Rhinolophus ferrumequinum: one gene and its partners. The protein of the gene in region 1 purifies or fractionates together with the protein of each later gene. This does not show direct contact. Links are inferred from orthologs where the notes say so. Each region holds a gene or a part of one and is shown in the gene's direction. Other genes may lie near its edges.

Region 1 (11,060 bases):
GCTGCTCCCGGGTACCGCGAAGCATGTTTGTTTCATCGTCGCTCTCACACTGTGCCCTTTTTGGCTTAGAACTTTGGCTCAAACACCAACAGGCTGTGGGACCTTAGACAAGTCACTTAACTTATTTGAGCATCAGTTTCCTCATCTATATTCAAAGAGCAGAGACTTACTGCGTGTCTCTAATACCAGGCACTCTTCTAGGTTTGGAATTCATGTTGGGCCATTTTCTCTTTGGGAAACTGAGACTGTCAGTCACTGATAAGACTCAGTAAGCAAGATGTGAGCTTCGTCACTGTTCCAGCTGCGCACATGCATTATTGTGCTTGCATAGGAGAGCTGAGAAGAAAAGACAGTCCATCTGCAGACCCACTGCGTGAACTTGACCAGGTCAGAGGCGGCCACCAGATACTAATTGCAACAGAACATGATGCACCTCATGAGAAAAACAGTGAGTGCGCTGAATGAAATTGAAACATGGAGCCAGGAGGACAGTGTCCCCCTGGCTTCTTGGGACGTGCCCTGGGTTGCCAGAAGGTCATCTGGAGACAGGACATCTGGAGGCAGGAAAGACCAAAGACCCTGGGACCCCACTGGGCTACAATGGGAATGGATGCCTGGGGGGGTAACCCTGGTGGTTCCTCCCAAAGGTCTTCTGACGTGTCTGGGTTTAAGAGCCAACAATCGATGAGAAATTGAGAAAGTGAATGAGTTGTAACCTGAGGGTGCTCTAAAACCACTATTTGGGGAGTCTGTTACAGTTTTTCCACATTTATGTATTGAGTGCATATTAGTCAGGCACTGTGCTAGGCAAGGGATACAATAGAGTGCAGGAGAGAGACACAAATATACATATATATTATTTATATATGTCATATGTTATATATAAATAATATATAAATACATATTACATGTCTGAAAAATATATGTAAATATGTCTCTAATATACCTAATATATATATTATATGTGTGTGTGTGTGTATATAAAACTGCCGTAAGTCCCAGAAGAGAAACAAGCCCAGAGTATTATGAGAGAGAATACTAACTTTGTTTATCTCATGTAAGTGGACAGATATTTGGTCTGTGACTGAAGGATGCTGGGAGCTGGTCATTCGTAAGTGGGGCAGAGATGGGGCAAAGAGCAGTCCAGGTAATGGCAGTGTCTCAGGCAAAGAGGTCAACAAGCACTGACCATGATGAACGGAAAGGCCCGTGTGGCCATGGTGTGGTGAGAGAGGAAGAGAGTAGAGTGAAATAAGTTGGAGCGTTAGGAAGAGCCCAGATAACACAAGGGCTTGGAAATCATGAGAAAGAGTTCAGATTTTATTCTCAAGGCAATGGGAAGCCACAAAAGTGTATTTTAAACAGCAGACCCACATGATCAAATTTAGTGGCAATTAAACGAGTGACAAGGCCCTTTTCAGAGAGAGGCAGAGAAAAATGCAATGTTGTCAAACTTCCACCGTAAAGTCAGCAGCAGGCCCGTGGTACCTGCAGTGTCATCAGGAGATGGGGCACATAGTGTCACTGAGTGAGGTTGCATTGATTCCCCCCAAGGAGTCCCGTTCCTGACCTGGGACCCTCCTGCCTTCATGAATTCGGTCAGCATGTATTTGTTGCGACTTTTACCCAGTGAACAAATAGGCACCGTGGACTGGTGGCAGTTATTGACTGGAAGTCGCAGTTCACATTTAGGTGCCTTCACACTATGCTCTCCCCTTTGTCGGTTCCTGTAACTTGTCTCTTCCTTTGCCTAGTGGTCACAAGAAGCTTGTTTCTTCTAGCTCTAGAGCATCATACTATGCCTTATGATTTCCCTACAACGTACCTATATGTTTGTAAACAGTCCCTTTTATTAAGCCTGTTTCAACCTGCCCTCATGTGAGTGTTCCATCTGTTTGCTGATGAAATCCTGATGCTAGAACAGGAAGCTTATTGACAGAAGTGATACGTCAAAAAAACGAAAACTTGAGGAAAACATCACACTTGTTGTGAAAAACTTTAGATGCTCATGATCACAGTTATTGTTTCATATAGTTCTCAAGGTTTGAGACAATACAAAAAGAAAAGAGAAAGAATGAGGTATAAGCATTGGAAGGGAGGATTAAATATTGTCATTTCCCCCCCCCATAATATATATGTACATTAAAAAAAAATCAGAAATCCACAGACACACTAATCAGAAGTAAAAAGAGACTTCCACAAGTTTGCAAGATTCAAGATTATTTATTACGAAATAAGGAGCATTTATTTAAACCAGTAACAGCCATCTGTATTAGTTATCTATTGCTGCCTAACAAATAACCCCCAAATGTAATGGCTTAAAATAACGTGTATTTATTATCTTACAAGGTTTGTGAGTCCAAGCTAGACTTAACTGGGTATTGTGAACTAAATGTTTGTGTCCCTCCAAAAATCATACTCAAAACTCTGCATCCCAATTCGATGGTATTAGGAGGTGGGGCTTTTGGAAAATATTTAGGATTAGATGAAGTTATGAAGGTGAAGTCCTCATGAATAGGGTTAGTGTCCTTTTAAGAGTCCCAAGAGAGCTTGCTGCCTCTCTCTCTTCCCCCAATGTGAGGCTACAATGAGAAGCCAGCCATCTGCAATCCAGAAGCCGCAGTCTTTTTATAACTTAGTCTCAGAAGTGCTGTCCCATCACTTCTGCTATATTCTGTCAGTTAGAAGTGGATCAATAGGTCCAGCCCAGACTTAAGGGGAGGGTATCCTAGAAGGGCACAAATATCAGGAGGTAGGAGAAACAAGGGGGTCATCTTAGAGGCTGCCTACCACAGAATAAAAACAAAATGCCACAGAAAATAAGACACCATGTATAATCACAACATTACAAAGCAATTAATCTAAGAAAGAATGTGTGAGACCATCCCGGAGAAAATTGTAAAGGTCATATAGAAGACATGAAAAACGGTGGATAGGGTGGAAACGTTGTAAAGATAACACTTTCCCCAAGTTAGTACAATTAAACAGTGCCGCAGGTCATTTTGGGAACATGGTAGTTTGTTTTTCCTAATACATTAATGGGAGGTTAAATATACTCAGGCAGCTAAGTCAATTTTGAAAAACAAGAGCAATAAGGGGGAATTTTGCCATAACTAGCTCTCAAGACAGTCTACAAGGCTGTAATTATGAAAACTGTGTGACCCTGGTCCTGGAATAGAGAAATCAATGAAACAGAAATAAGAGCCCAGAAAAAGACTCAACTATATGTAGAAGCTTGGTATGTGGTAAACATACCACTGTTATTCCCTGGGGGAGAAGATGGATGGTGTCGGGAAAACTGGCTCAGACATGGAGAAAAACAAACATGGATTTTTATTTTACATCACAAATAAAGGTGAACTCCAGATAGATTGAAGCCTAAATATGAAATTTATGACAGTGTGGCAGAAGGTATTTTCAATGTCGAAAAGTAGCCACAGATTAATAGCTAGAATATGAAGTGCAAGGAGATCCTGTGACTCAGTGCAGAAGAGATAAATCCAATTAAAAAATGGGTGTGATGTATGAACAGGAAATACAAAAGGGAAAACCTGACTGTCTGACGAGTATATGACAAGATGTTCAACCTCACAGGAAACCAAAAAAAAAAAAAAAAGGAAAATTAATAGGCAAGATACAGCTTTATAACCACAAAGCTTGGAAAAAATTAGAAAGGTGGATAATACCACCAAACAGAGAGGCAGACATGGGACAAGACAGTTATGCTGTTGGTGTTGGTGTCAGCAGACTCAGACACTCGGATGAGCCGCCTGGAAGTACTTTGTGAAATGTACAGGGTAGCGTCTGTGTTTGTGAATAAACAAGCTCCCGCTAGGAGCCTTTGCTCACCTCGGGAGACGATCAGCTGCTGTTTTCACCATGCACCACTCTATGCTACTGCCATGCAGGACCATTTCTGAAGGTAATTCCAATTCTAGAGGGACCATAATTAAACATCATTTGAACTTTCAGCTAATGAGGTAAGATGCTTAAAAGTTTTGAACACGTTTGTACAAGGCGAGTTCTCTGATTCGGTCCGACACTTAAATTTGCTCCCAAGTCTCACCCACAGCCATTAAATCTCTGTGACTGGCAATCTTACCCCTTCCCCTGAAAGAAATCTCCAGCTCGGAATCTCTCTCCCCTGTCCATTCTCAAGGACCCTGGTTCCAGAATCAGAGGGACAGGTGCAAAGTAGGCAGGTAGGGTGAGACTGAGAGAGGCCCTTCGGTCTGGGTTCCCCACGTGGAGGGCTGCCAGCCTGCCGGCTCTTTGATTCATTAACTCAAAGCCTCTCTTTCAGGCAAATATATATTCTTCTTCAGCAATCACAGAGCTGAGATCCACTTTGCACAGATTATTTCTGCTAATTAACAAGGTTCTGATAGTACCCCAAACGATGATGGGTGCCTGTTATTGTTTGCAGGGGTGTTTATGTTCCCATGATTTTGCCATCCTGTGATGTTTGGTGGCATTACCAAAGAGCGATGCCAATGTGGAAAGGCTGCTCCTTTGTCACTATTTCAGTTCAGAGTCGCCCTGAGATCGGCGGGCTTTGGGTGGTTCGGGCACTTACAAGGATTCTGATTTCTCGTATCACAGAATGAATCAAGAGAAGAATCAGGGCAGGGAGAGATGTGAAAACACAGCATAATTTTTACTGAAGAATGCTGGAAGTTTCTGTAGGAGAGTGAGATAAAAAGCAGGGGGTGGGGAGGGGGGTCTTAGCCTGAAACACAGGGGTCCGTCTGTCCATCAGTTCACTGGTAGAATCTGAGGACACTGGATGTCAGGCATTGACTTATACTTTTCTCTGCAACCTCTTTCCTCTTCTTTTATCCTTAATGGAGGAAGGTCACTTACATTATGTCAATAGTTGACGTGTATGTGGGGAGATTCACTGCACTGACAATAACGGCTTCTGTTCAGTGCTTACTTTGGTGCTAGTGACTGTCTCCAGTGTATCAAATGCTTTGACTCATTTAATCCTCACCGTGCACTCTGCAATGGGTACCATTGTGATCGTGCACATTTTTCTAGATTAGAAAACTGTGGCACAGAGGATGGAAAGTGACCTGTCCAGGTCACACAGTGAAGTTGGAAGAGCTGGGATTTGAACCCAGGCAGTTTACGTCCAGAACCACACACCCATAATCATCATGCCACACTCTCTTTCTGTCCTCCCTATCCAGAATGGTGGGATTTATTAGAATCTTTGCCATTTTGGGTAAAATCTTTATAGTTTAAAAAACATTGTTCTGCGTAATTTGTGATAGAGTTATTTCAGGATACTTTAAGGTTGGTTTTTAGTTTTGGTTTTTGGTGTGTTTTTTTTTTTTTTTTTTTTTTTTTGCTATTTTTCTTGTTGCATGTATGGTGGAATTTTTACAATTAAATTTCCAGGTTATTACATATTAACTTTAAACTTACCATTTTTCATAACTGTGAATAAAGCCATAAGTGAGTCCAAAAGCACATTAACTCTGCCCAACTCTAAAATACAGTGAGAACGTTGTACAGTCACTCTGGTCTCATGCATCTCACACTTGTGTGAGGGGAGAGTAGGATGTGGGCAGAGGGTCTGGAGAGGGGGCAGTGCCATTTGTTAGAGTACTAGTTGTCGGAGTCAGACTATAAGGAAGCCCGTCTTATGCTAAAGAAGAATCTGGATAACTCCTGTTGTCAAACCTTCCAACAGAAGGTTTCGGTAAGCAAGTGAGATAATTAGATTTTTTAAAAAAAACATCATTCTTGCAGCATTTTGCAGGGTGACTTGTGCTTGGGAAAAGCTGGTGGTAGAGAGACCAGTTAGGGTACCATTGCAATATTTCAGGTGAGAGATAATGAAAGTCTGACCTAGGCAATCGCAGCAGGAAAAATGGAAGCGGAGAAGGTGCGATGGGAGGAACATGTCTCAGATGAAATCCACAGTCCTGGGTGACTAGTTAAATGTTGGGGGAGAGAAGAGCGAGGAGTGGGAGTTGTCACCAGAAAGAGTGACCTCAGGTGAAACAGGTTGTACAGGGCGTGAGGGAGGGGTGGGGTGGGCAGAACATGGCAGGGAAACATGTTTGGTGTTGGTTTGGTACAGGTGAAGAGCCAGAATGCTAGTCACAGAGATGCCAAAGCATGATACAGAAGCTAATGAAATTGGAAAAGTATAGCCCTCCAATAAAATGGCAACATAGGGATTTATGGGAGGTTTATATGGAAGAATGATTATGACTGGAGCTGAGCTCTTGGAAGTTACTGGCATATCAGTGGTACCTGAGGCCGGAGGGAAAGGTGGGGTCAGTCCAGATAGAGTTGCCATCTTTAATAAAAGACAAAGAAATAGGACAATCAGTTACATTTAAACTTCAGATAAACAATGAATACTTTTTTTTAAGTATATTCCATGTAATATTTAGGCCATACTTATCCTAAAAATTATTTTTTGTTTATCTGAAATGAAAATTGAGCTGGGCCCCATGCATTTCCCCTGATAACCATAACAGTGGCTGCAAACAGAAATGCCTATGGGACCAGGAAGGCACCCATGGGAGGTGCTGTGTGGCGGGTGGAAGGTGGTACAGGTGGGGCAGCCTGGAGCACCGATGTCTCATCCTTGGGGGCAGCTGCTGCCCTGCTCCAGCTGATCAGGTTCGCAGACATGGCCTCAAGGGTGTCCAATATTCTAATGTTTCCAAACAGAAGAGAAGTATATATTTTTAATGTGAAATATCCCAATTTTAAAAGAAGACGACTAATGAAAAGCAAAAACATTGTGAGGCACAGAGCAGGTCTGTGGGTTCCCCAAGGCACAGGGGCCACTGCTTTGCAACCTCTGATCTAATCTTTGCAGAGTGGGTGGGGAAGGTGTTTAACCTGCAAGTTACAGTGCTTTGCAAAGTCAGGGTGCGGGGAAGGGATGGCAGCAGGCCGATGACTCCCTCCCTCATGCAAAAGGTAAAATGTGAAAACGACGCTTGTGGCCACAACTCCATGGTCTTGCCCCTCAGTGTCTGAACGCGTCCCATGGCCACGGTCGCCATAGCTGGGCAGTGGCCAAAACCACAGAGGGCTGCACCCCGTTCCACCTGCTCTCACAGGGCTGGAGAGACCAGCCTATCCCACCAGCCTTTCAGGTAGCAGGAGCAATCATTGGGGCTCTGAAGGCTTTCATCAGAAAATTGTGGGTGGCAACTTCCTGGGCTTTGTGCTGAGAGCTTCTTGAGGCTTCTCACCTTCAGATGCAAAGTGAGTGGGTGTCTCTCTCTGAGAAGCAGAAAGAAAAAACGAAAGAGAGGTGTTTCCCTGGGCTATGGAAACTCTATAAAGAAGGAGCTGGCTTCCCCTCCCTTGGTCAGTCAGAAGCAGAGGTCCCCTCCTTGATCCCTGGGACTCCCCGGGATCGAGAAGGAAAACCTTTGCCTGGGGCGTCCCGAGTCACTGGCTGCCATGCAGCAGCCCTTGAACTACCCGTACCCCCAAATCTACTGGGTGGACAGCAGTGCCAGCTCTCCCTGGGCCCCTCCAGGCTCAGTCCTCCCGTGTCCGTCCTCGGTGCCTGCAAGGCCTGGTCAAAGGAGGCCACCACCACTGCCGCCGCCACCACCACCGCCGCCATTGCCACCGCTGCCGCCACTGCCACTGCCACCTCTGAAGAAGCAAAGGGACCACAGCGCAGGCCTGTGTCTCCTTGTGATGTTTTTCATGGTGCTGGTGGCCCTGGTTGGATTGGGCTTGGGGATGTTTCAGCTCTTCCACCTACAGAAGGAGCTGGCTGAGCTCAGAGAGGTAAGCTGGCGTGTGGATTGCTGTGCCCTGGAGGCACGGGGGGGTCACACAGCTCTGTCACCGTGCAGGGGTCCACGGGGACCGCAGTCTTGCACAGGGCTTTCCAATCCTTGCTTCCTGTCTCAGAAATGGGTCGTTCTAGACATTTTATTCGACAGAGAATTGCAGGTGGTTCCCATGAGGAAAAGGAATATTTTCTGTTGGGGAAAGAAAGGATCAAGGCTGTAATAGGAATGGCAGGGACAGATCTTCTTGTGTCCTGTGACAAGTCAGCCTGCTGAGCCGCGTACTTGGTGATCCGAGAAAGAAAAAGAACTTTGAGTCTTGTGTAGAAGTGAATCTGTTCAAATGGCCCATCTTCATATTTTTGTTTCTTAATGCTTAAAAATATCGGAACTATTCCGAATCACAAAGCTGAGGCATGGGGAGGCACAGCGGCTCGGCCAAAGTCAGAGTCAGGAGAGCTTCTGCGGTAGTTAGAGTCCCTTTCCAGGGCTGGGTTTAGTTGATAATTCTGCCTCTCGCTTAAAGAACTTCATGTTGATTATGTGTCTTTTTCTTTTTTGCCAGTCCACCAGCCAAAGGCATATAGCATCATCTCTGGAGAAGCAAATAGGTGAGTCCTTTTATGCATGGCCATTGAGCTTCCAAAGATAGCCCTCCGTGCTGAACCATGTGGGTGGAAGGCCTTGAATTGCAGGCGGCTCCCATGAGGAAAAGCATCCATTCCCGGGCACATGCATGCTAACGGAGCAATCCTGGCGAATTCGGAATCTCTGGTCATTTGGGTTCCTTGAGCTGCCCTAACCTGTGAATGAATTTTACTGTGCAAAATCAGTGTATCTGGGTACTGCACACCATTCAAAATAATTCCCACTGGCCTTTGGGAAGAGATGCACACAAGTACATCCCTGGACCTTTGCCCCTGAGCAGCTGGCCCCAGGCTAGTCCCCTTCCTCCGGCCTCCTGGTTCCCATACACAGGGTGGTGGCTGTAAGTCCTCAGGAAAAGGGGCAGTGGAGGAAGAGAGCGATGTTTATAGGAAAGGTTTCCTCCTCTTTAAACTCTCAAAGATGTTACTCAAGAGCCAAGAGTTTTAAAACATATTTTATAGGATATGTTTAAAAGCTTTTTTTAAAATAAGTGCAAAATCAGTCATCCACGTAGGATGGTTCTTTTGCAGTCACTAGAAAGCTTGGGGAAAGACTCCAGCCATTATTCGAAGGGTATTCCAGCTTCATGCACAGAGGCAATCGTGAGCTACTTTTAGCAATAAAGGAAAATTCTTTGTATGAGACCTAGAACAGGGAGAGGATGGAAATGTTGAGCAATGGCCTCATGAAACTTCAGAACATAGTTTTGGAAACTGGAGAGATAGATTTAAGATTTTCACCAGCTCATCAAACTAAGACTTATCGACATTTAGATTTGGTAAGAGTTGGAAGGGAGCTTAGAGAGCATCTGGTCTAGTCATCTCATTTTTCAGAAGAGAAACAAAATACCAGACAGGTTAGGTGACTTGCCCAAGACCACTGGTGTGGAACTGGGGCCAGAAGGAACACAGGCTCCTGGTGCCTTGTCACCTCCAGGGCTCTCCTGTATATGGACTGATGCCTCATGAAATAAGGCAACTCCCATCTCGCTATGATGCTCATGGAGTGAGAAACAAAGAAGACAAGCGAGACGCCCTGCAAAGACAATAAGTAAATCTCACCCTTAGAAATGGACGAGAAAGCAGAAGGCAGCACTGGCCACCCAGTCTCTGAGGTTGTGCCCAGTGCAGGCGACCCATCTCTCTGTTGCCCTCGAATGTAAGCTCCTGTCGGAGCCCAACCTTAGGACGCTCTGGTCCCGGTTCTGGGTCTGAGTCCCTAAGTGTTAGAAAGTCCACACATACACAAGCAGAGTAGAAATATTTGGTAGAAAAAAATTAAGGCTCTGGAAGGTTTCTAAACTAAAACAGCTTTGAAAATCAATGGAATGTGGCTGGTGACACAGGTACCTAATTACTCATCTTTCACCCACATTCTGGAGTCATTTTAGTGATTAAAAGTCAAGTGAACAGATGAGTCAGGTCTACCAACTCCAAAAAACAATTGTCTTCTCCAGATCAACCAGAAATTGGTGAATTATCCCATGGAAATCAAATGAGCAACTTGACTAATAAGAGATGCAAATTAAAACAAGGAATACCCATTTTCATCCATCAAATTAGTAAAGGTTAAATACATAAAATGAAAAAGCCCAGACTGGCAAAAATATGAGAGAAAAGGTCCTGCTTAAACATTAAATTGACAGCCAGGGGTCATGTAAATTGCTGTACCTTTTCTGAAGAGCAGTTTGGAAAAAATGTATCAAAAGATTAAAACTGTTAATTTACTTTTGTAATCTCATCAGTACGAATTTATGTTAAGAAAATAATCAAAGATGTGCCTGAAAATTTATATGGAAGGGTGTTCATCACCTCCTTATCAGCCTATTTATAATAAACAGTTCAGAAGAAACATAAATGTCTCTTAATAGGAGGTTAGTTAAATGCACTGTATTGTATTGAGATGAGAGCCTCATGTGTAGCAACTGAAAACCATGAATCAGGACACTTAATGCCATGGAGACTGTGCATCGTATAGTATTAGATAAGCAAAAACAGGTTATAAAGCAGTATGTTTAGTTTAATATTGACTATACCCACATATATGCATATTTTTATATTCTTAGTAAAGAACTAGGAGGATTTGTACCTCGACACACGAATAGTGATTTTTCTCGGCGAGGCACTATTACAGATTATTTAAACTTTCGTGTGTGCTTCTTTTTCATTTTCCATTTTTCCAGTCAACTCATGAAATCTTGTATTCATTCACAGAGGTTCTAGGAGTGCTTTCTATGTGTCAGCCTGGGTGTTGGGTGGGAAGTGACCGCTGAGAATGAGAGAGACCAGGGGCCTACCCTCATGGAGATTTTAGCAAGCTGGAGGAGATAAACAAAAGCAAGCAAACAGGCAGCATCACTTCAAATTAATTGTATTAAGTGCGACCTAAGATAGAGTGATCTGGAAAGTTCCCTCCGAGGTGTGTGTGTGTGTGTGTGTGTGTGTAGGGGGAGGATAGGAGAAAGCATTCCAGTCCTGGAGTGGCGTGTGCAAAGACCTCGGGGCAGGAGACAGTCATCACCAGAGTGGGGTATATCTCCAGCTTCTTTATTCCAATATTGACCCAGGAGATATTTTTACTGAGTACCTTCTATGAGAATCACATAGTACAAGGCTCTGTGAGGGATAT
Region 2 (10,916 bases), on another chromosome or scaffold:
TTCATAGAACCCAACAAATTTGAAAAACTTGGATAGTAGGTAGAAGCCCAGACCTTTTAGTATGGACTCAAACGATATCTTGACGGGGTGGATTTCTGGTTAGCGAGTACTGAGTTAACAAAGTTAACTGTTTCAGCTAGATAATATACGAGTGTGGCGCTGCAGGACTAGCCTCTTCATTTGCCCAAGCCTTTGACGCCACCTAGCTTCTTTGCTGATCATTTTGTATTATTTTTGTATGCTTTTCATTGTCTTTTTAAATGTAATACTTGATATGTGGAAAATAATATATGTAACATGTAAGTTATAAAGTACAACGAATACTTATGAACCCAACAGCCAGTTTAAGAAAATGTCACCAGGACTCTTTCATTTGTTTATTTTAACTTTTTGTTTAAAAAGAAAAATCGTTTTATCATTATACATCATCCTTAAATATGCTGAGAACCTTCTTACCTGAAGTGTATCCTGTGGACCAGCAGAGAGTTCGTTGGAAATGCAGAATTTCATGTCCCACTCCTGACCTACAGAATCAAAATCTGCATTTAACAAGATACCCGGTAATTTGTATATACATTGACATTTGAAGAATGTTGCTTAGAAGAAATCACACCATAAGGATTTTATTATGCGTAGCTGTAGTTGCTTTTTTTCACTGCTGCATGATATTCCATTGTTTGGCTCTATCCAATTTTTTTTTTTTTCTGGTTGGATTTTTTTTGGTAGGGACTTTTTCAGCAGTGCTGTTATTAACATTTGTTTAGGGCTCCTGTTGCACATCTGCAATTGCTTCTAGTATACATCTTGGAGCAGAATTGCCAAGTTGTAAAATATGTGCGTGTTCAACCTTAGTAGATAGATATTGCCAGATTGTTTAACAAAAGGGTTGTACCAGTTTATATACTCCTTTGGCAGTGCATGAGAGTTTCCTTTGCTCCTTGTTCTCAATTGATAGTTTTAAAATTTTTTACCAGGGCCAGCCGGGTTGCTCAGGTGGTTGGAGCACCATGCTCCTGAGGCCAAGGTCGCAGCTAAGATTGCGAACAACAGCTCTCCCTGGAGCTGGGCTCTGGTGGGCTGCTGTGTGCTGCTGTGGCTGGGTGGCTGGCAGCCATCTAAACTGAGAAACAATGGCTTAAACTGGAGGGGGGAGAAGAAAATTTTTTTTTACCAATTTGGGGAGTGTTTTAGTATTTCATTACGATTTTAATTTGCATTTCCCCAATGAATAAAAGTTTCATATGTATTTCCTCCTCTATGAAACGCTCCATGTCTTTTGTCTATTTTTCTATTGGATTGTGTGGTAAGTAGAATAATGGTCCTCCAAAGATGTCCATCCAACACCTGTTAATACACGTTACCTTACATGACAGAAAGGAGTGTGCAGATGTGATTAAATCAAGGATCTTGGGATGGTGAGATGATCCTGGATTATGTGGTGGGTCCCAGGTAATCACAAGAGGGAAGCAGAAGAGCCAGACGGAGATACAATGATAGAAGCTGAAGTCTGAGTGATGTGAGTACCAAGTCTTTGAAGATGAAGACTTCATCTTCAAAGGGGGCCAGGAAAAGAGGAATGTGGTCAGCTTCTCGGAGGCCAGAAAAAGCATGGAAATGGATTTTTCCCTAGAGCTTCCAAAAGGAACACAGTCCTGCTGACAGCTTGATTTAAGCCCAGTGAGACCCACTTTGGATTTCTGATCTCCAGTACTATAAAATAAGAATTTTGTGTTGTTTTAAGTCACTAAGTTTGTGGTAATTTGTTAACAGTTGCAGTAAAAAACTCACACAGATTGCTATTTTTTTCTCTCATTGATTTGAAGGTGTTCTTTGTGTATTTCTGGATATTAATCCTTAACCAGTTACACATGGTACAAATACCTCTCCCAGTTTGCACTTTACCCCCTCCCCCTTCCTATTCCCCTAGCCTCATTCCCTCCCATCCTCAGCTCCTGCTCAGCATGTCTGCAGCAGGGCTCTTGGTTAACTTCCTTCTCCTCAGACAAACATGATAAATAAGGAAATTATATATGTTAGCAGGTGTTAAGTGGTATGAAACAAAACTCAGCACAATGTAGGACTTGGGGTGAGGATGGGCTGTAATTTTAAGTAGGGCTTGTCAGGGTAGGTCTTGTTGAGGTGATATTTTATAAGGGTTTAGCCATGTGTGTATCTAGGGGACTAGCATTTCAGGAAGAGGAAACAGTGTGAATGCTTTAAGACAGGAGACATGTGCCTGGCATGTCAGAAGAGGAGTACCAAAGCCATCTTGGCTGGAGCAGAGTGGGCTAGGTGGGGAGGGAAAGGGACTCGGATGACAGAAGCCTGTTGCCTCTTGTAAGGACTTCTGATGCTGAGTGAGAGGAAGACACTTGTCGTGCGGAAGACCCAGCTCGCTGCACCATGTGTCACACAGGGTGTCAGGCGGGGTCTCTGGTCCTGCTCCCCACATAAGAACACAGGATATGGTGAGGCCAAAAAGGAACACCCCTGGAGCCACAGATAGGGGAGTCACACCACTATATTCTCGCTGGCGGCTGGGTTGGAGACACAGGAAGCAGGAGCCACACTGTCCGCAACCCGCCGTCCTAACTGCAATCCACGCTTGCCAGACACCATTTTCTTGCTAGCCCCCATTTTCTGCTAGCGTAGCCACAGCTGATGGCCATCTGATCACAGTTGATGGCCATCTACTACCCAAGCCAGCACCTTTCCACGTGAGGCCGAGAGCCTGGAAACTGCACTCCCGGCTCTGTCCCCACAACACTGCAGGGTTTTGAGCACAGGATTGACATCTAAACTATGTTTCAAAAGGATCATCACCCTGATGCCGTGCTGATAACAGACTATCAGGAGACAGAGGTGGGCACGGAGATCATTAGGGAGCCATTGCAATGATCCAGGCGAGAAAGATGGTGGCTGGGACCGGGACAGCAGCAGTGACATGCTGATGACAGAGGAGTCCCAGGATGATGAGGAGAGTCAAAAATGTCTCCAGGTTTTGGCCTGAGCAACTGGAGATGCTCATCACCTGAGATGGGGAAGGCTGCCAAGTACAACAGGTGTGGGGGACAAGATCAGAAATTCGATCTTGGCCATGTTGAGTTATAGATGTCTAGGAGAGACCACGGAGAGCAGTCAGGGAGAAAGATATGTGAGTGTGGAGTTTTAGAGAAAGCGCTGGGCTGGAGATAAAAAGGTTGTGTGTGACTGGCAGAGGGATGGTGTTTGAAGCCATGAGTCTGGGTGAGATCATTGAAGGAGTGAATGTTGGTAGAAAAGACAAGAGGCCCACAATACTGTAGTCACTCTGTTAAGAATTACTGGAGAGAATAGGACAAATCAGTGAAGTACTAGGGAAACCAGGAGACTGTGTTCTCCCCAGTGCAAGTGAAGTAAGTATGCAAGGGAAAGGAGTGACCAGCTTGGTCAAATGCTACTGGTAGGGTGAGTGAGAGGACTGAGAGTAACCATTAGGTCATTGAAACCTTGACTAGTTTCAGTGGAGTATGAAGTCGAAAGACTGGCTAGAGAGGTTTAAGAAGAAAAAGGGTTGAATTGCAGGCAACTGGTATGGTTTTTGAGTTTTGCTGCAAAGGTGAGCAAAGAAATGGGGCAATAGATAGTGGGGGAAGTGGAGTCAAGAATCTATTTTTTAAAGACAGGAGTTAATTCTTCCCTCAATACCCGCATCTTGTTGGTTGCCATTCCTGTCTATTCTATTTCCATAAACTCCCAGATTTACTTCTCTCCAGCCCGTTAGCCCGGCCTTGTCTCAGGACTTCATCATCTCTTGTCTACATTACTATAGCAATAGTCCAGTGTGTCTGCCGTGCTGCCACTGGCAGGGTCAGCCTGGAAACCACCGGCCAAGGTTCTTCCTTGCTGACTCCTTTCCTAAAGGAGGAAAGTTGGATGCCTGGAGTCATGCTGTTTCCTGTGCAGGAATCAGGGTCCCAGTAGGAAAGAGAAAAACTCCAATTACAGTAACGTGAAGAGAATTTAATAAAGGTACTTTTCCCAAACAAGTGGGCAGAGTGTAGGGAAACCACAAAGGTGAGTGGTTTCCTGAGACTAGTAACCAGGAGCTCTGTTACCCCTAGGCTTGAAGAGGGTCCCTGGAAGGGTGGGAATGGAAGATACAAGTTCTGGAAATGTCTGTGAGGCTGAAGAGTGAGTTTTCCCCAAAAACCTGGAAATAAGGGTGTCCCCTAAGTTATAAAAAGCCACCCAGAACAGATATGAGGGTAAATCCAAATGACTCTTCTGTAAATGTGTGACCGAAGTGCTTAGGAAACAACTAAGGCCATCATGGTGTTGGCTGAAGGCTTTCCAAGTGGGTGGGGCTAGGCTAGGTACGACCCTAGTTGTATGAGCAGAAATTCCAATTGTATTGAGTTAATAAAGGTAAAATAATTACAACAGTGTCCAGCACTAAGGAAGTATTATACTTGCTATTGTTAAACTGGCTTAGAGAAAGGTTCTGTGAACAGAAGAGAGATCACAAAGAGGCACCCCAAAGCAGCTAAGGGGAAGCATTCGGGCTGGTCACAGAGTCACCAGGCTAAACTGCCCTGCAGAGGAGGACAAGATCTCAAGGTTTCTTGGCTGAGAGAATTGCCATACCGTCCCCTCTCCCATCCTGAGGGTTCCAGGCTCACTGTGCTCACCTGGTAACTGGGCTTCCCAAGGAGCAGCCCAAACTGCCTTGACCTGGGACACAAAAATTCAGGTTTGCCTGATAGATCTATTTCTCTGTGTAAACTAATACCTGGGCTTCTGGAGTTTGTAAAAAACACTTTATTTGGGTCAAATGCCAGCCCTGTCCTGAGAATTGGATCTACTCACTGCATCAATGAATTTGGGTTTTGGAGCCAGAGGCCTGCAAATCACACCGTTCAAAACAGCCCAGGTGTCCACATTCAGCAGCACTGCCTTGTGTCAGCTAAACTACAACAAGTGGGAAGAGTGAGAATGAAGGGGAAGTAAATCGGAGCTAAAGGGGAAGCAAGGCTCCAGGGCTGAGCCAGGAAGGGGAGTAGGGGCCGAGGCCTTGGCTCACCTTAGACACCACCTCCTCCAAGAAGCCTTCCTTGATCCTTGCTCCACCTAGGCTGGGATCGGGGCCCTCCCAAGCACATTTCACAGCACTAGTCACACTGGGCAGGGGGCATCTGTCTACTTGTCTCAACATATCTGAGCTTCTGGAAGGTAAGGATAACGTCTTATTCATTTTTGTATCCCAGAGGCCTGGTATAGAATAGCTACTCAGTTAATGTTTCCTTGAGTGCATGATTGCATGAATGAGACAGAGACAGAATGGATGAATTAAGGACAAGAACCCTCCAGGGCAGGAACCCAGATTGCCTTGTGCTGTAATCCCCAGTGCCCTGCACTGTGCCTGGCAGTGCCCAAAGCGTTTCGGATAGTCTGACCAAGGGTCAAATCCCCCTTACCTCTTCCCGGAAGCCTACCGACTATCCCTTTCCTACCGACCATCCCTTTCTCCTCACTGCTGGTGGCAAAGACAACATTCAGTCTCCTCCGCCGCTGCACAAAGCAACGTAGAACCCGTTCGGGTGGTGCCTGGGCTTGTTCCCTGTTGCCACAGATGTACGGTCTTGGTTTTCCTCATGAAGGAAGTTTCCCAAGGCAGGGGTGCTCCTGGCTGTCTGGGCAAAGCACTAGGATCCGCAGCGGCCAGTATCCCAGGCCACTCAGGCTTCTTCCGTGAGGGCACTGCTGGCTCTGGGGACCCTCTCCAGAGAGCGACCCCGGGGCTGCGCCACAGCCCAGTCTGGCCGGAGCTGTGAGGGTGCGCGGGGAGGGGTAGTCTGTGGCTCTCCAAGCAGCCTTCCTCAATTCCCTCCCCCGGTCCCGGCTCTGGCGCCCTCCTTGCACTCGTGCACTTTGCAAACTTTCGGAGTTTTCCTCCCCTGGCGTCATGAAAAAGGAGGGTGCCCAGAGCCCAGGAGGCGAGGCAGCGGCGGTTGCCGGGTGGGGGGTGGGAAGGAAACGCAACGCTCAAGACCCTCGGAACGAGAGGTGCCTCCCAGCGAGGGCGGACTGGCCCTGGAGGCTCGTGGCCCCCTCTTTCCCAGGTCTTCTCCTCCCTCTCACATCCTGATCTGAGGGCCTCTGCCAGAAGGAAAGAAGCAAGGGGCAGGCGGGGCGGCTCTGGTGCCCGAGGCCGGGGAGGCGGAGCCGGTGTCCCTGCCCAGCCAGCCGGGCTGCTCGCGGAAGAGCCTTGGAGTTTGCCTACTTTCCCTCCCTCCCTCCCTCCCTCTCTCCACCCCGCACCTCCCCCAGCGGCTGTTCCCTCCTTCCCTGGGACGCCACCTCCCGGAATCGCCTTTTTTTTTTTTTTTTTTGTTTTGGAGCTGGCTTCTTGCTGCCGGCGCGGAGGGGCTGCGAGTGCAGAGAAGGCGGGCTGGGAGGGCAGCCCTCCGCCCACCGCGGGACCCGCGGGCCAGAGCTGAGGACAGCCAGGCGGGCGCCATCTGCGCGCCGGAGCTCACTCTGCAAACTCCTGTGGAGTGTGTGCGTGCAGGCGAGGGCGGGGGTCTGTACGCCGGCCTGGGAGGCTCCGGCGGGGCTTACCTTTGGACGGGGTCCTGGGACTCACCAGGGTTAGCCTCAGGCTCAGAAACCGCTGAGGAATTAGGCAAACAAAAGAGGCCACTCAGTTGGTGGCCAGAAGTCGCCGGAGCGCCTCGTTGTGCCCCTCGTTCCCTGGGGTGGGGGCTCGCCACTTGGGTGGGGAGCGGGCGCCGGAGCTTGCTGGGGGCCCGCTGGGCCGCCGGGTCGGAGAGTTGGCGGCCTGTTGTGTAAGCCTCACTGCTTGTTTTCCCGGCCTGGCTCGTTGGGAAGCCGGACACATCCACCCTTGGACTCGATTCAGGAGGCTGCTGCTTTTCTCCTTGCCCCTCTTGGATTTTCTGGATTTTTGAAAACCCAGTGGCCCAGGAGGAAGGAGGAAGGAGCAGAACTGTGGAGGAATGTGAGAGTCTCCCAAGGACTGAGGAGCCAGAAGGAGCTGGGAGCCAGAGCCGCTGGGGTTCTGGAACTGTAGTTAGCGAGTGATTCTCTTTTGTTTTAGAACGTTGTTCCAGTGGAAAGAGGAATTCTTGCCCTCTCAGAGCTGATTTCTCCAAGTCACTTGAGTTTTCTTCTGGGAGTGGGAGGAGGGAGAGACCCCCACCCCTCAGGGGCTGCCAAGGGAAGGGAGGAAGACTATGGACATGAGCCCCTCCTGCCATCAGGCTGGTGCCCGGATACCTGATAGGGCAATTTCTGGGCCATGGACACAGCTTTGAAGAGGGGGAGGCTGGACAGCATCTCTGGGTGCTGAGATCTGCCTTAGGGCAGAGAGACGGAGCTGCTGGGCAGGCCTTGGTTTACCAGTGCATTCTTGGATACCCTAGCAATTGTCCCCAGTTCTGGGCAGGATCCTCTCCTCGTCTTTCTCTACCACTGGCCCAGCCATGGCACTAAAAGGCCGAGCCCTCTATGACTTCCGCAGTGAGAACAAGGAGGAAATCAGCATCCAGCAGGACGAGGACCTGGTCATCTTCAGCGAGACCTCGCTGGACGGCTGGCTGCAAGGCCAGAACAGCCGCGGTGAGACGGGCCTCTTCCCTGCCTCTTACGTGGAGGTCGTCCGCTCTGGCGCCAGCTACAGCCCCACAGGCTCTCCTGGCGCCCAGGTGAGCTTGTATGACAGAGCCGATGTGGCTAACGCTCCTGGGAGTGGTGGGGGCAGTGGCTTCTTCTCCAAGCAGGGCAGCTTCGAGGAGGACGATGACGACGACTGGGACGACTGGGACGACGGGTGCACAGCGGTGGAGGGGCCGCGCGCGGGGGAGCTGGGCACCAATGGGCACCCGCCGCTCCACCTCTCCTACCCTGGGGCCTACCCCAGCCAGCACATGGCCTTCCGGCCCAAGCCAGCGCTGGAGCGGCAGGACAGCCTGGCATCTGCCAAGCGGGGCAGTGTGGTGGGGCGCAACCTCAACCGCTTCTCCTGCTTCGTGCGCTCGGGCGTGGAGGCCTTCATCCTGGGTGATGTGCCCATGCTGGCCAAGATCGCTGAGACATACTCCATCGAAATGGGCCCTCGTGGCCCCCAGTGGAAGGCCAGCCCCCACCCATTTTCCTGCTCGGTGGAGGACCCCACCAAACAGACCAAATTCAAGGGCATCAAGAGCTACATCTCCTACAAGCTCACACCCACCCACATCGGCTCCCCCGTCTACCGGCGCTACAAGCACTTTGACTGGCTCTATAACCGCCTGCTTCACAAGTTCACTGTCATCTCGGTGCCTCACCTGCCGGAGAAGCAGGCCACAGGCCGCTTCGAGGAGGACTTCATTGAGAAACGGAAGCGGAGGCTCATCCTCTGGATGGACCATATGACCAGCCACCCCGTGCTGTCCCAGTACGAGGGCTTCCAGCATTTCCTCAGCTGTCTGGATGCCAAGCAGTGGAAGATGGGCAAACGCCGGGCAGAGAAGGACGAGATGGTGGGTGCCAGTTTCCTGCTCACCTTCCAGATCCCCACGGAGCATCAGGACCTGCAGGACGTGGAGGACCGTGTGGACACGTTCAAGGCCTTCAGCAAGAAGATGGACGACAGTGTCCTGCAGCTCAGCACTGTAGCATCGGAGCTGGTGCGCAAGCATGTGGGAGGCTTCAGAAAGGAATTCCAGAAGCTGGGCAATGCCTTCCAGGCCATCAGCCATGCCTTCCAGATGGACCCCCCCTTCAGCTCTGAGGCCCTCAACAGTGCCATCTCTCACACGGGCCGTACCTATGAAGCCATCGGCGAGATGTTTGCCGAGCAGCCCAAGAACGACCTCTTCCAGATGCTCGACATGCTGTCTCTGTACCAGGGCCTGCTGTCCAACTTCCCTGACATTATCCACCTGCAGAAAGGTAAGGGCCAGTGCAGGCTGGACACCCTGCGGAGTCGGCGCTCTGCTGACACGGGGACATGCGTGGCCCACACAGAATGGGACAGCTCATCTAGTCTTTCTGTCTCTTACTCATTCAGCAAGTGTGTTGAGCACCTACTATGTGGCCGCTGCTATTCTAGGTGCGGGGATACTGTGAATAGGTCTGGTCTCCAGCCTCATGGAGCTGGTGTTTACCTTCTTGTCGTCTCTTCCTCCCTTCCTTCATTTTTCTGTTTCTGTCTCGTTTTCTCACTTACCCATTATACATTGAGCCCTCCAAGGTATCAGGCTGGGTTCTGGTCTATGGAGATAACCAGGGCCCAGGCCTTGCGCTTGAGGAGCCCACAGCTCACGGGGGCAGGGGTACAGACCCAGATAAATGGGGCACAGTGTGGCCTCTCTCCCCTTCCCACGGCCTCACCAGCTCACCTCCCTGCACAGCCTGTTCTCACCACTGCGTATCCTCTGTGAGTTCCTGATCTGTGGGGGAGGGTCGCTGTCCCCATTCTGCAGATGGAGACGCTGGTATTCACAGAAGGGTGGTTGCACAGGGAGTCCGTGGGTCAGCTGAGACTATTCCTTCCTCCTGTGGCTCCCTCAGGACACGTCTGTGTTGGCCACCGCCCAAGCCCGGCTATGTTTTCAGTTCTCAGCCCCTCTGTGGGGGAGGGACAGGATGGGCTATTGCTGTGGGGCTGTCAAGGAACTGCCGGGGAAGTGACTCATCGCCAGTCACCGAGGGGCACCGGACTGGGCACCAGACTGGGCGGGGGGAGGAACCAGGGGCCTGGGGCACATGGCCCGTCCCACTCCCTCTTCCCAAACCTGGCTGACATGACCTGGCAGGTGGCTGAATGGAGACCTGGAGACTACAGGCAGGGCAGATGTCAGGAGAGAGGTGTGGTGCTCCCTGGGGCTGCTTGGTAACTCAGGAAGAACGTCTGCAGGGCGTGGGGCTGGCTCCTTGGCCCCTAGGCCCTGAGGTCAGCCCTGGCTTGGTGGGGAGTTTTCCTCTGGGTGGGGCCAGGAGTCAGGCCTCTGGACTGAGCCTGGGGGTCAGCAAACACTACCCCCTACTTGTACCCAGGAAAGTCTGGAGTAAACCAGCCCTGCCCTCCTTCACCGGGTTGAAGTCTAGAACCAGTGACTGCCTTGTGTAGCTCCCAGCCTCCTTTCTCCCGTCACTTTCTCTTTCTCCTCCTCTTCTCTGCCCTTTTCTCTTAGCTCCACATTCCTCTTCTTCCCTTTTCTTTCAGCTTCAGGAGACACAAGGCCTGAGTTTTAGTCTTGGCTCTGCTCCCAATTTGCTGTGTGTCCCTGGAAAGTGCCTTCTCCTCTCTGGACCTTAGTTTCCTGATCTATAAAACAAGGAAAGTGGACCCAGTGAGCTCTTAGGCCTGCAGGGTGGGGGAGGGAGACTTACAGGGAGGGTCTGGTTGAGGACAGAGGGATGCGGCAGATGTAGCTCTGAGCTCTGGGGCAGGTGTCCCCCTGGTGCAGAAGTGGAGCCACGCCCACTGCATAGGGCCTGGGAAAGCTGGTTCGACCAGCTCCTTGGATGGCTTTGGATGGCGTGTTCCTCTGTGAGCAGCGTGAGCAGCGGGAGGGGGAAGCTGGGGCACTGTGATTAACAGCTGCCCGCTGGGTTGGCTGGGGACCCTCACCAGGGCAGAGCTGGGGGTGGGAAGGCAGCCCCATACCCAGGGCTCCTAGACTGTCACTGAAGCAGGAGGGAATGAAGCCAGACTGGCCTTTCTGACCCTAGGGCAGAGCTGAAAGAGGCCATTTCTGACTCTCCACTTAGGCAGAGGCTGGCCCACGTTCCCTCAGCCGGGGGACCCCTCCCCATAGGCCAAGCCCTTTTGGGCTTACTCTTCTTCCTCCTGGACTCTGCACTGCCACTCCTAGGCCTGAGGTCTGGCAAGTTAGGAGGGGCCTTGGAATCTGGCTGAGGCAGAATTG
Region 3 (10,130 bases), on another chromosome or scaffold:
ACTGTCATTCACAGTGCCTAGCAATAAATCGTGGTGATAGCAGCACATGTCCTGGACTTGTGGTTAACAAGCACTGTCATTAGAATTGCCTTCCACGAAGAAGGAATAATGTGTGTTTGTATGTGCTGGCAAGTTAGATGAGACCTTTAGCTTTAAAAGGAACTCTCCATAGCCTGTGACTTGAGCAATGACACAGGAACTAGCAAAATGTCCTTTGCTACCCAGCTATTTCTACCATCAATATCATTTGCTTCTTTGTGCTCAATCACTGTCTGTAAAGATGTTTCTGAGAACTAATGTCAGAGTCTGCCCACAACAGGTCAGAGAATCAAAGCAATTTCCTAGGGTAAAGTTTTAGGGAACATCAGTGATCATGAAGGCTGAGAGCTTGCTAGTTAGCCCATCTTACAATCACTGCCCTGCTCTCAGTATCCTAACCCAGCCTTCCTTCTGGGAGTCAGGACCACCCAAACTGAGCGTAAGGCCAGTACAGAACCAAGAGCACACAATCCCTGCTGCAGCCTAACCCTGCCTGTCAGTGTCACGCCTGCCATCTATGCAGACTCAGCAACCTCCAGCCTCTTCCTGCCTGCTCAGATCCTAGCAATTACATTCCAGCTAAATCTCCAGTTCTGGACACCATTTCTCATTATTCTACACAGATTGTGTCTCCCAGACGGTGTCGAGAGAGAAGTGACTTGGTCAAAATGGAACCAAAACTAAAGCCAATCAACCAAAACAAATTAAAAAGTCATCCACTTTTATACATACATTGGCCAGCTTAACACCAAGGGACAGCTTCCTATAAAATAACCTTTGCCATTTCTCTAAAACCTTTGCCTGCTTTAATTTTCCACCAGAGAACTTACAAAAGCACCTGACGTGTTACATATGTAATTGTTTATCTTCTTCCCCCACCCACTCTAGATTCTAAATTCTCAGAGCAGGGACTTTTATTTCCAACACCTGCAACTGTGCCTGGTACAAGGTGAGGACTTAACATTTTTTGTGATTGGAAAGGCACCTGCCACACCACTTTCTCCTGTTTATTTCCAAGGCCACCCCTGAGGTTCACTTTAACCTCAATTAATTTATAAAATGAGAGAAAAAAATATACCTTTGTGCCAACCCAGTCTGACGCTGGGGTTCTGTCCTATTCCCCACTCTTCCCATCTTCCACCATATAGGGTGGGCAACCATTACGTTTTCATCCCATTCCACATTATTTTTCATAGTTTCATATTCCCACATTAGTTTCACATTAGTTAACCTAGCACTTAGTAGTTGGGATCTGAGCTATTGGAATATAAGGACAATCTAATTTCGACTAGAGAAAGAAACAAGAATTATAACTGATATTTACTGAGAGCTTATTATGTAGAAAGCGTCAAGCTAAATCCTTTGAGCTCATCATCTAATTTAATCCACACAACAAACCCATGAGATAGATATTATTGTTGTTGTTGTTGTTGTTGTTATTCCCATTTTGCAGTTCAGGAAACTGAGGATGAAGAAGTAATGTACCTAAGGTTACATGGATTGTAAGTAACAGAATTGTCATGCGGGGTCTCTGGTGTTCCTTTTTGGCCTCACCATATCCTGCGTTCTTATGCAGCGAATGGTACCAGAGACCCTGCATGACAAGAATCCAGCTCTGTCGACAGGAAAGTCTGTGCTCCTAAGGAAGAAAGAATGGAAAAAGAGAGAAGGGAATTGGGATGAGGACTGTATTTGTGTTTTGTGGAACCATTAGAGCTATATCTAAGAAAGTTAAGTTTTTAAAAGACAACTTTTAAAAACTATCATTTCAATGTGAAAAGATGTGTTTGGGGCTAGAGAGTTTCAGAGTTACAGTGATGAAGTTATTAATTTCTGCAGTTAAAATAAAGGTGCTTTAACTTTATAAGTGTATAGTCATAACACCTAACTGTTACTGAACAAACCCAGGGCAAGAGTTAATAGCCATTCTTATGGCCACCAGCTGTGCCATTAGCACAGGCTCCTAGGAATGCTTGTCACTCCCTCCCCCTGGCATGATAAAAAGAGCTCAAAGCCTAAACTGAACAACTCTTTGTGGCTCTGGCTACAGCTTTTTTTCTTTTAAAAGTGCCATCTAGCCAAACGCAGTCTGCAAATGCAAATCAAATTCCTTAGCTAATCAATTGTGTTCTCACCAATGGGAGTAATGGAAATTCAGGCTGTAGAGCAAATAGCTGAACTTGACGTGTGCCAGTTTCAACCTCTGGGTTCTGAGGACGGCCCACGGAAAGCACCACCTCTGAGAAAGCCTGTCAAAGGAAGGAAGTGGATGGGAGGAAAGAAAGAGGTTTGAACAGGTGATCAAATGGAATCAGAAGATGAAACCACGTTCTTCCCAACTTGGCCCAGGGCTTTTCGTGATTATCCTGAGTGACGTCAACTTTCTAGTTTGGGAGAAGCCACTGTTCCACTTGGCGGCTGGACTTCTTGGAATAAGATGAAAGGATATCATGCTTCTTCTGTTCTTCTAGTGTGGGTGGGTGGCTCCTAGCACAGTTCAAGACAGGAGTCCTTGACTGGTTTATCTTGTTACCGGTCTAAGAGTCCATGTGCCCTACGCTTCCGAAAGCCAAAACTCCAAACATAAGAGTTGGGAGTAAGGAAAGGTTTATTGTTTGAGAAGGTGCCACTTGAAAAAATGGGGGGTTCTAATCCTCAAATCAATCTTAAGAAAGTACAGAGTTCAGGCTTCTTTTAAGTCAAGGGAAGGGAAGATGGGAGGGGCAAGAGGTGATTGACGACCACAGACATCTGGGTACCAGCAGGGTCTGAGGAAGACCCGGAAATCTCTAAATCTCTTTGTTTGTTCTTAGTCTGTTCACCCCAGCTGACCTGAGTCTGCTCTTGAGGCTCCTGCAAGCCTTTGATAAATTATCATTATTTTTGTACACATTTCCCCCACCTGCTTGGGAGCGGCGCCTTCCAGCAAGGGACTGTTCTTTTAAAAACTCAAGTCCCACGTAGAATTCTTCTAATGATTAGCATCTCTCTAGCAGGAGCTGTTAGCCTGAAGGCCACAGGAACAACGCACGCCGGAATAAGATTGGGCCAGAGAGACGGATCATGTCACTGGTACAGTGACTGTCTTGACCTTCACAAAACTGCCTTCGAACCTCTCACCTGAAATATTTTTAGTTCAAAAATGACATGTTTTGGAGACCCGTGATAAGAGAAGTGGGCTCTTGTCTCTGCTCTGGCCTAATGCACACCAATAGGTAAGTCATTTACCTACCCTGTAAGGTCCAGTCGGACCAGCGAGCATTGGGCAGTTGAGGTTTATATGCCGTTAGGGACAAAGAGAGGGGAACGGGTCTGGGATTTCAAAGGCAATAAGCAATTTACAGGTAGCTGAGTAAGAGGGGAACACAGGTGACAGGCAAATCCCTGCTAGCCAACTCTGAAACAATGGGACATGAGGTGGGGCGTCTAGTTAACAGGCCCCAGCTTAGAGCCTTTCTATGTGCCACAATATGTTGATTCCCTTCCAGGAGAAGGCCTTTCCATCTGAATCTCTTAGGCAGGAAAGGGCGTGGGTCAAAGGTTCTCTCGGGGTCTTCATTTCTTAATAACCAACTTAAAATCAGTATCCCAAGAGGCACACTTTGGGGGTGGCAAAACTTTGGTCCCCTTCAGTGGTGCTAGGGCAGGTTGGAGACATGGGCACAAAGCCTCTGCTCCTTAACTTACTGTCTGATGGGGGGAGTCAGGCAACTGGTCACTCAATAATGAATTACAAACAAATTTCCAAAGGCAAGGAAACCAAGTACGGTGAGACCTTCAATCAACAGAACTTGACTGAAACTGGGGGCAGGGAAGATTTCCCTGAGGAATACTAACTGCTGTGACGCTCCAGGAGAGCTCCGAAGGATGAGTGGGAGGTCAGCTGGTGTGTGGGGTGGTGGGGGGAAGTGAACAGATGGTGGGGGGATAGGGGTAATTCAGACAAAGAAACAACACAAGCAATGTAATTTGCTGTGAAATGAAATGAAAACGTGAGGTCTCTTGTTCAAGACTATTCAGAATTTAAAGTTTGTGAGAGAGAAGCATTAAAGCAAGAGTGGGGTCCCTCTAAGCACTGGACCCTGCGCAGGTCACATGCCCAGGAACCTCTCCATGGAACAGAGTATGATGCTGGGGGGGGGGGGGGGAGGAAGCGAGAGGCCAGTATGGCCCCGGGAGGGTGGTATTAGATGGAGCTGGAGCTCAGACTCCCTGAGATTACATTAGTGATGCACTACCGGACTAGGAAACAATGTCATGGTGTTTTTACTATCTCAATAATACAGGTAGTGATTTCACTTTCATTTAATGTTTTTATTGATTTTGCTTAGTCATCATGAATTTGATGTCTTCCATGGTTACTTCTAAGGATGAAACCAAGACTACAGAAATTGTTCAAATCGGAAAAGCTTGGACTCTGGTCTTTTTCCTTTCTTGGTATCAGGTGTCCAGGTTGATTGGTGGTAACCGCAGGCTTGAGGCAGAACCTCTTGGAAGGTCCAGGGAGCCATTGCTCTGCTTGGTCCCGGATGTTTATTCAGCACTCATTTTACTCAGCCCAGAGGAGAGCACAACTGGCCCACCAGCACCCCATCCAGGCGGGTGTCAATTGAGCATGCCAAAAAGCACAGGTCACAGGATCAACCCCGAGTTTGTAGCTCCCTTACAAAACATGCATTGTTGAACTGCTGCAGGGAGCTGAAGGCAGCTTTCAAATGTGAAAGAATATGGAAAATTCATTACTTATGCTATTACCCAAGTTCAAATCCTGGCTTTTCCACATACAAGTTAGTATGTGTTCTTAGTCCAGATATTTATTTAGTTGTTTATTAAAACAAACATTTTTAAAATAAAGTAATAAACACATTTTCAAAAATTCTGACGATGGCATCTAATGAATCTTCAGGCATTTTCTAGGTATATACAAAGTATTTTCATATTTTTTTACACAAGTGGATTGTGCTATGCTATGTTTATCTTTATTTGTGCCTTTTTAAATATTATCCTTTTCTTATGGGCTTCCCAGAATTTCATTTGCCTGGTATGCTGTATTGAAACAGTCCTATTAACAAACATATAGGTTGCTTTCTGTTTTGGGTTAGAACAATGCTTTACTTAACTAACATCATGACTCACTTGCGCAAATCTGACAGCACGATACATTCCTAGAAATAGACCTGCTAGGCCCAAGGTTATGGGAATTTTCAATTTTGAAAAGTATTACCAAATCAGCCAAGTTATTTCAGGGAGACTTGATTTCTTCATGTCTGTAAACAGTGGACAACAATGACTTTCTCAAAGTTTCCTTATAAGGATTAAATAAGATTAAAGCATGTGAAAGTCTAGTACCATGTTTCCCCGAAAATAAGACCTAGCTGGACCATCAGCTCTAATGCATCTTTTGGAGCAAAAATTAATATAAGACCTGGTATTATATTATATTGATTATATTATAAAGACCGGGTCCTATACTAATTTTTGCTGCAAAAGATGTATTAGAGCTGATGGTCCAGCTAGGTCTTATTTTCTGGGAAACAGTATATAGTAATTAAACTGTCAATGAATGGTAATCTCTCGCTTTCCTTTTACTTTGACTATTTATGAGTATTATAATTTATGACTATAGCTTTAGCCATGAACTCAGCAAACAAAAAATTTACAGAAAATTCTGTAACACCATATCCATTTTCAACTCCATTGCTGAATGTATAATAACTCTTCAAATCTCTGGAGGTCAAAGAGTATTTTCGACAGAACACAAAATTTGGCATTAGTTCTAAATACTGCTTTTCTAGGCTAATAATCAAATCTAGACTTGATTTGATAGCTGCCTCTTTTAACATATATATCCCTGATAATAAAAAACAAACTGTACTACACTGACATACCAATTAAGATATATCTTCCAGTCATATTTTTGGTACTCCAGTGATAATCTTACTGCTCAATTTAAGTCATTCATGTATGAATAAAACCCGTGTGTCCAACTCTGAAGAAAAACATGTTGACAAAAAAATATGGAAAATTTTAGACCTCTCATTTCCACTTTCAGAAAATACGTTGTATCTTCCCCAAACCTCTAGGGCCCTGCGTCATTTTTAAATTGATCAAGCGTGCAGAAGGTTAATGTGACATCTCAGAATGAACTCTCCAAGCGTCGCGGCCCAGAAGCTCCAGGCGGGATCCCAGCCTGTGGTAACCCCAGGCTTGAGGCAGAACCTCCTGGAAGGGCCGGTCGGACCAGGGAGCCATTGCTCCGCTCGGTCCCGGCTGTTTATGTAGCACTCGTTTTACTCAGCCCAGAGCACAGTCGGCCCAACAGCACTCCCGACTCAGGACCAAGATCCCCGTTGGTCACCCGTGCCCGGCCAGGGGGACGTAGACTTGTCACCGTAGCCTCGTGCCTCACGCAGCCGAACTTGAGCCGCTGCGTGCGGCGCGGTCGTGAGGAGCCAGTCGGGACTCGGCTCCCGGGGAGGGCGCTCCCCCCCGAGGCGTCCTCACTCCCCCCAACATTTCCGCGGGCAGCCAGGCGGGGCGCGGCCGGGGGCTGGGACCCGGGCACCGACCCCGACTCCGGCAGCGACTCGGGCCGCGTCCCTGAGCGGTGGAACAAAGGGCGCCCGGCGGCGGCGGGCCCGGGGCGGAGGCTCCGGGCGGGGGCGGAAAGTGGGCGAGGAGGCCTGGCTGGCCGAGGGCACCGGGCGCGCTTCCGCCGGCCGCGCCGCGCACGCCGCGGTAAATGGGAGGCTCGCCGGCAGGGGCGGGGGCCGCGCAGTCGGGGAGTTTCAGGAACTGGCGGAGCGGGCGGCGGCTGGAGTCACCCAGCGCCCAGACTCGGGGCCGAGGCGGAGCTGTCGCCGCCGCCGCCGCGCCGTGGCCCAGTCGTAGCCGCCCTCACCTTCGCCTGCCCGCCTCGGGCCGACAGCGCGGCGCGGGAGAGGAGCCGGCCGTCCCGGGCCGGAGATCCGCCCGCCATGGCCACTAAGGTGAGGGGCGCGCAGCGCAGGCCCTGGCGGCCCCTCGGCTCCGCGGCGGGGCCAGGAGGGTCCGGGCCGGGGACGCGGGCGGCAGGGACGCGGGCGAAGCTGAGGGGCCGGCTCGCAGCCCCCCAGGGCTCGGGTCACGCGGGGCGAGGGCGTTCGGGGGCCCGGCTGCAGGCGCTAGAGGGTCGTGGGGCGGGACCCCGGACGCGAGCGGGGCCTCCTGCAAAGTTTGCCCCTGAACGTGGGCTGCGGCCGGCCGCGTGGAGGTGAAGTTCCCGCAGCCCTCGGCTCGCTCGGAGGAGCCGTGCCGGCCACCGGGAGACGCTGGTAAGGTTCCGAGTGGTGTCCAGTCGCCAGTGCCCCGCACATCCGGCCGCGGCGGAGAGGAGCGTCCCCTCCCTCCGCCTCCTGGTGGACTCCCGGCACGCCGGCCGGTTTTGGGGGACTCGACCCCGGCGGGAGAGGACTCGGCGTTTTAAATTCAGGCCGGCGAGCGAGAGCTCCGGGGGAGGGAAAACGCAAATTGAACGCCCCGCGCTTCCACTTCCTTTCTTGTTTTTTTTTTTCTTTTGTTTTGTTAGCTTTTCAGTTTGAATGTTATTTCCAGCGTGAATAAAATACAAAGAGGGAAATGACTGGGCTTTCAATAACGCGTTTGCTTGAAAAAGGCCCAGGCCCGACTTACGTGGTGGAAGTTTGACTCGCGCTTGGTAATTGGCCAGGAGTGGTGCTTTGCTTATTTTAGAGTATTTTTCGTAGAATTAGAGGTCACCCTTCGCTGCTTGCGTCTGCTGGCGTCACCCTTCCCCGCTCCCTTTCCTGGGGTGTTTTCCTTAATTCTTAATGTAAACTAGGAAAGCCAGGACCATTGAATGAAGATTCCAGGAGGTAGTCATGTGTTTTGAGGAATGCATTGACTTTTGCAAATAGTTTTTTGTTCTGTCACTTTTGTAAAGATCAGCACCCTCTTCCATATTTATGTTTGAAATCTGTAAGCTTTTTTTGGTTTGTTGAAAGCCTAACGTTTTTGTTCTTGGGTTTTTGTTTTTGGTAGAGAGACAGGAAAGTAGTAAGAAATGTGAAATCCCTTTAAAAGATAAGATTGTCTGATACCATTTCAGTCTGTTAAATTTTTTGCTCTAAATTTATGTAGGTGCAGTGTTTAGTTTTTTTTTTTTTTTTAAAGGCCACTCTTCTCCAGGGAACCTGTTGCCTGCAGTTACTGAAATAATTACCTACTAGTTAATAGATTATTAGCTATACCCTTCCTTGGTTTTATAAGATGTGATAGAATTTGCTACCTTTTTAACGTATATAATGTTTCGTTGATCCTTTTAAAAACAAAACTCAAAACTCAACAAAACGCACGGATGTCTTAAGGAAATTTGATTTTGAGGTTTGTTGCCACACATTCCAGAAATTACCAGTTACACGGCCTTATTTTACACTCACCTTGCAACCTTAAAAGCTGTTTGTGGTAGTTATCTGTTTAGTGGTGGTCAGGGCTGTGGTATTTCACACTCTGATCTAATGCACGTTACTGGTACTGTCTTTTAGGTGGGTCCAGGCTTAGCAACTAGTGTGGGTATACATGATGAAAAATTTGATAGTTACACCTGAACTTAGTTTTTCCATAAAATCGAAAAGGACAGTTATTGTACTAAACTTGAATTGCACATGTCCTCACTAGACACAAGCCTTAAAGCATGTGTCAGCACTTCCGACTTGATTATCCCCACCACTCTGAAGGCAAATTCCGGTAACTCTGGCTCTTAGTTTCTTTCACCTTTCTAATCACTATTCCACATGGGACTCATTTCCTTGTTTACATGGTGGCAAACTACTTCCATTTTTTTTAAGAAAGGACGAGGAAAAGAGCATTTATTAAAAGAGGACCCATCCTCAGAGTTCTGGTTTTCCTACTTCATGGTGATTCTGTATCAAACCAAAGTCTCATTTTATTTGTTCCCAGAGAAAGTTGTACTTGCTGTTTCCCCTCCAACATCTAGTGGTTTGGGTTTTTCCCTTCCCTTTCTTTAATTGGGTAGTTGGGGAGCATGTACTTTTAATAACTAATAACATCTAACTTTTTAATAAAATTTTAAGACTCATTTGGTACACAGGCTCTTGCTAGGAGCATTAAGTGATGACAAATAAATGCAATATCTGGACATTTTAGGTAGTGTCAGGTTTCCCTTTGAATTTTCCTTTGAAGCCAGAGTTTGGCTTCTGTTGTTTTAGGTATGATTTTCTTATGTATTTTTCTTACATGTTTTCTTGAAGATACAGTTATCTTTGAACTATAGTGATTTTTAAAAAACTCCTCTGGTATACTCACCTTTTAGAAGAAAACTCAATTCTTCACTGCCAAGAAAAGTTAATCAGTAACTGCATATTTTAAAGGGATTATCTGTTCTTTGATCCTAATCCCTAACCCAGGAGAAAGTTGAATTCAGTTTTGAGTGCATGTCGCTAAATTGTGAACAAATACAGGGAAAGGCTAATGTGAATGTGTAATGTCTTGACTTCTGTTAGAAGCCTCAACAGGTTGTATTTTGACACAGTCATATGGTGAATTTAGAGTAAAGTTTTATTTATTAAATCTTGGGAAAATTTTTTTTTTGACCCATAACATATGAAAAGGGACATAAAGAAAATCATTAATGGAAGTTAATCGAGTCATAGCTACTATATAATTCAGATGTGATAGCCATGTCAAAGTTAACCTTTGGTAACTAATTTGGGTCCTTTTGTGATTACATAGTTTTAGGAATAATCATTATAAGAAGATTTTAGGAGTCCCTGGTGTCTTTAATAAAACACAACATCTCTTTCCAGATCCAGTGTCTAAAGTTATACATTTGTGTTATAATTAAGTAGATGTGGAATGTTGAAATACTACTAGGAAATGAGTGAATTGCTCAGGACTGTTCTATGATACACTTAGTAAGAACAGTTCGGAAAGCATACTTTGTACTCACTCCTGAGCAAAAATCTCTTTATCTGAAAAAAAGAATAAAATACTAGAAATGTCTTTCTAAAGAGCCTTAGGATTAAAGTTGGTTTTGATGTTTTTTTTAAAACGTGTGGAAAATGCTAACCATT

Evidence for each region.
Region 2: the proteins of FASLG (region 1) and SNX33 purify together in Homo sapiens (co-immunoprecipitation; 3 studies listed by BioGRID and IntAct, counting the BioPlex papers as one, with this or other methods). This does not show direct contact. The link is inferred for Rhinolophus ferrumequinum from reciprocal best matches to the Homo sapiens genes FASLG and SNX33.
Region 3: the proteins of FASLG (region 1) and SNX9 purify together in Homo sapiens (co-immunoprecipitation; 3 studies listed by BioGRID and IntAct, with this or other methods). This does not show direct contact. The link is inferred for Rhinolophus ferrumequinum from reciprocal best matches to the Homo sapiens genes FASLG and SNX9.

What each region holds. Positions count from the first base shown.
Region 1 is NC_046305.1:8,087,207-8,098,266, forward strand, and holds the start of FASLG (tumor necrosis factor ligand superfamily member 6), read left to right. Parts: upstream 1-6,066; 5' UTR 6,067-7,440; coding exon 7,441-7,779; intron 7,780-8,349; coding exon 8,350-8,395; intron 8,396-11,060. UniProt on the Homo sapiens protein: Cytokine that binds to TNFRSF6/FAS, a receptor that transduces the apoptotic signal into cells. Involved in cytotoxic T-cell-mediated apoptosis, natural killer cell-mediated apoptosis and in T-cell development.
Region 2 is NC_046289.1:99,975,003-99,985,918, forward strand, and holds the start of SNX33 (sorting nexin-33), read left to right. Parts: upstream 1-6,547; 5' UTR 6,548-7,484; coding exon 7,485-8,934; intron 8,935-10,916. UniProt on the Homo sapiens protein: Plays a role in the reorganization of the cytoskeleton, endocytosis and cellular vesicle trafficking via its interactions with membranes, WASL, DNM1 and DNM2. Acts both during interphase and at the end of mitotic cell divisions.
Region 3 is NC_046286.1:99,674,131-99,684,260, forward strand, and holds the start of SNX9 (sorting nexin-9), read left to right. Parts: upstream 1-6,165; 5' UTR 6,166-7,016; coding exon 7,017-7,028; intron 7,029-10,130. UniProt on the Homo sapiens protein: Involved in endocytosis and intracellular vesicle trafficking, both during interphase and at the end of mitosis. Required for efficient progress through mitosis and cytokinesis. Required for normal formation of the cleavage furrow at the end of mitosis.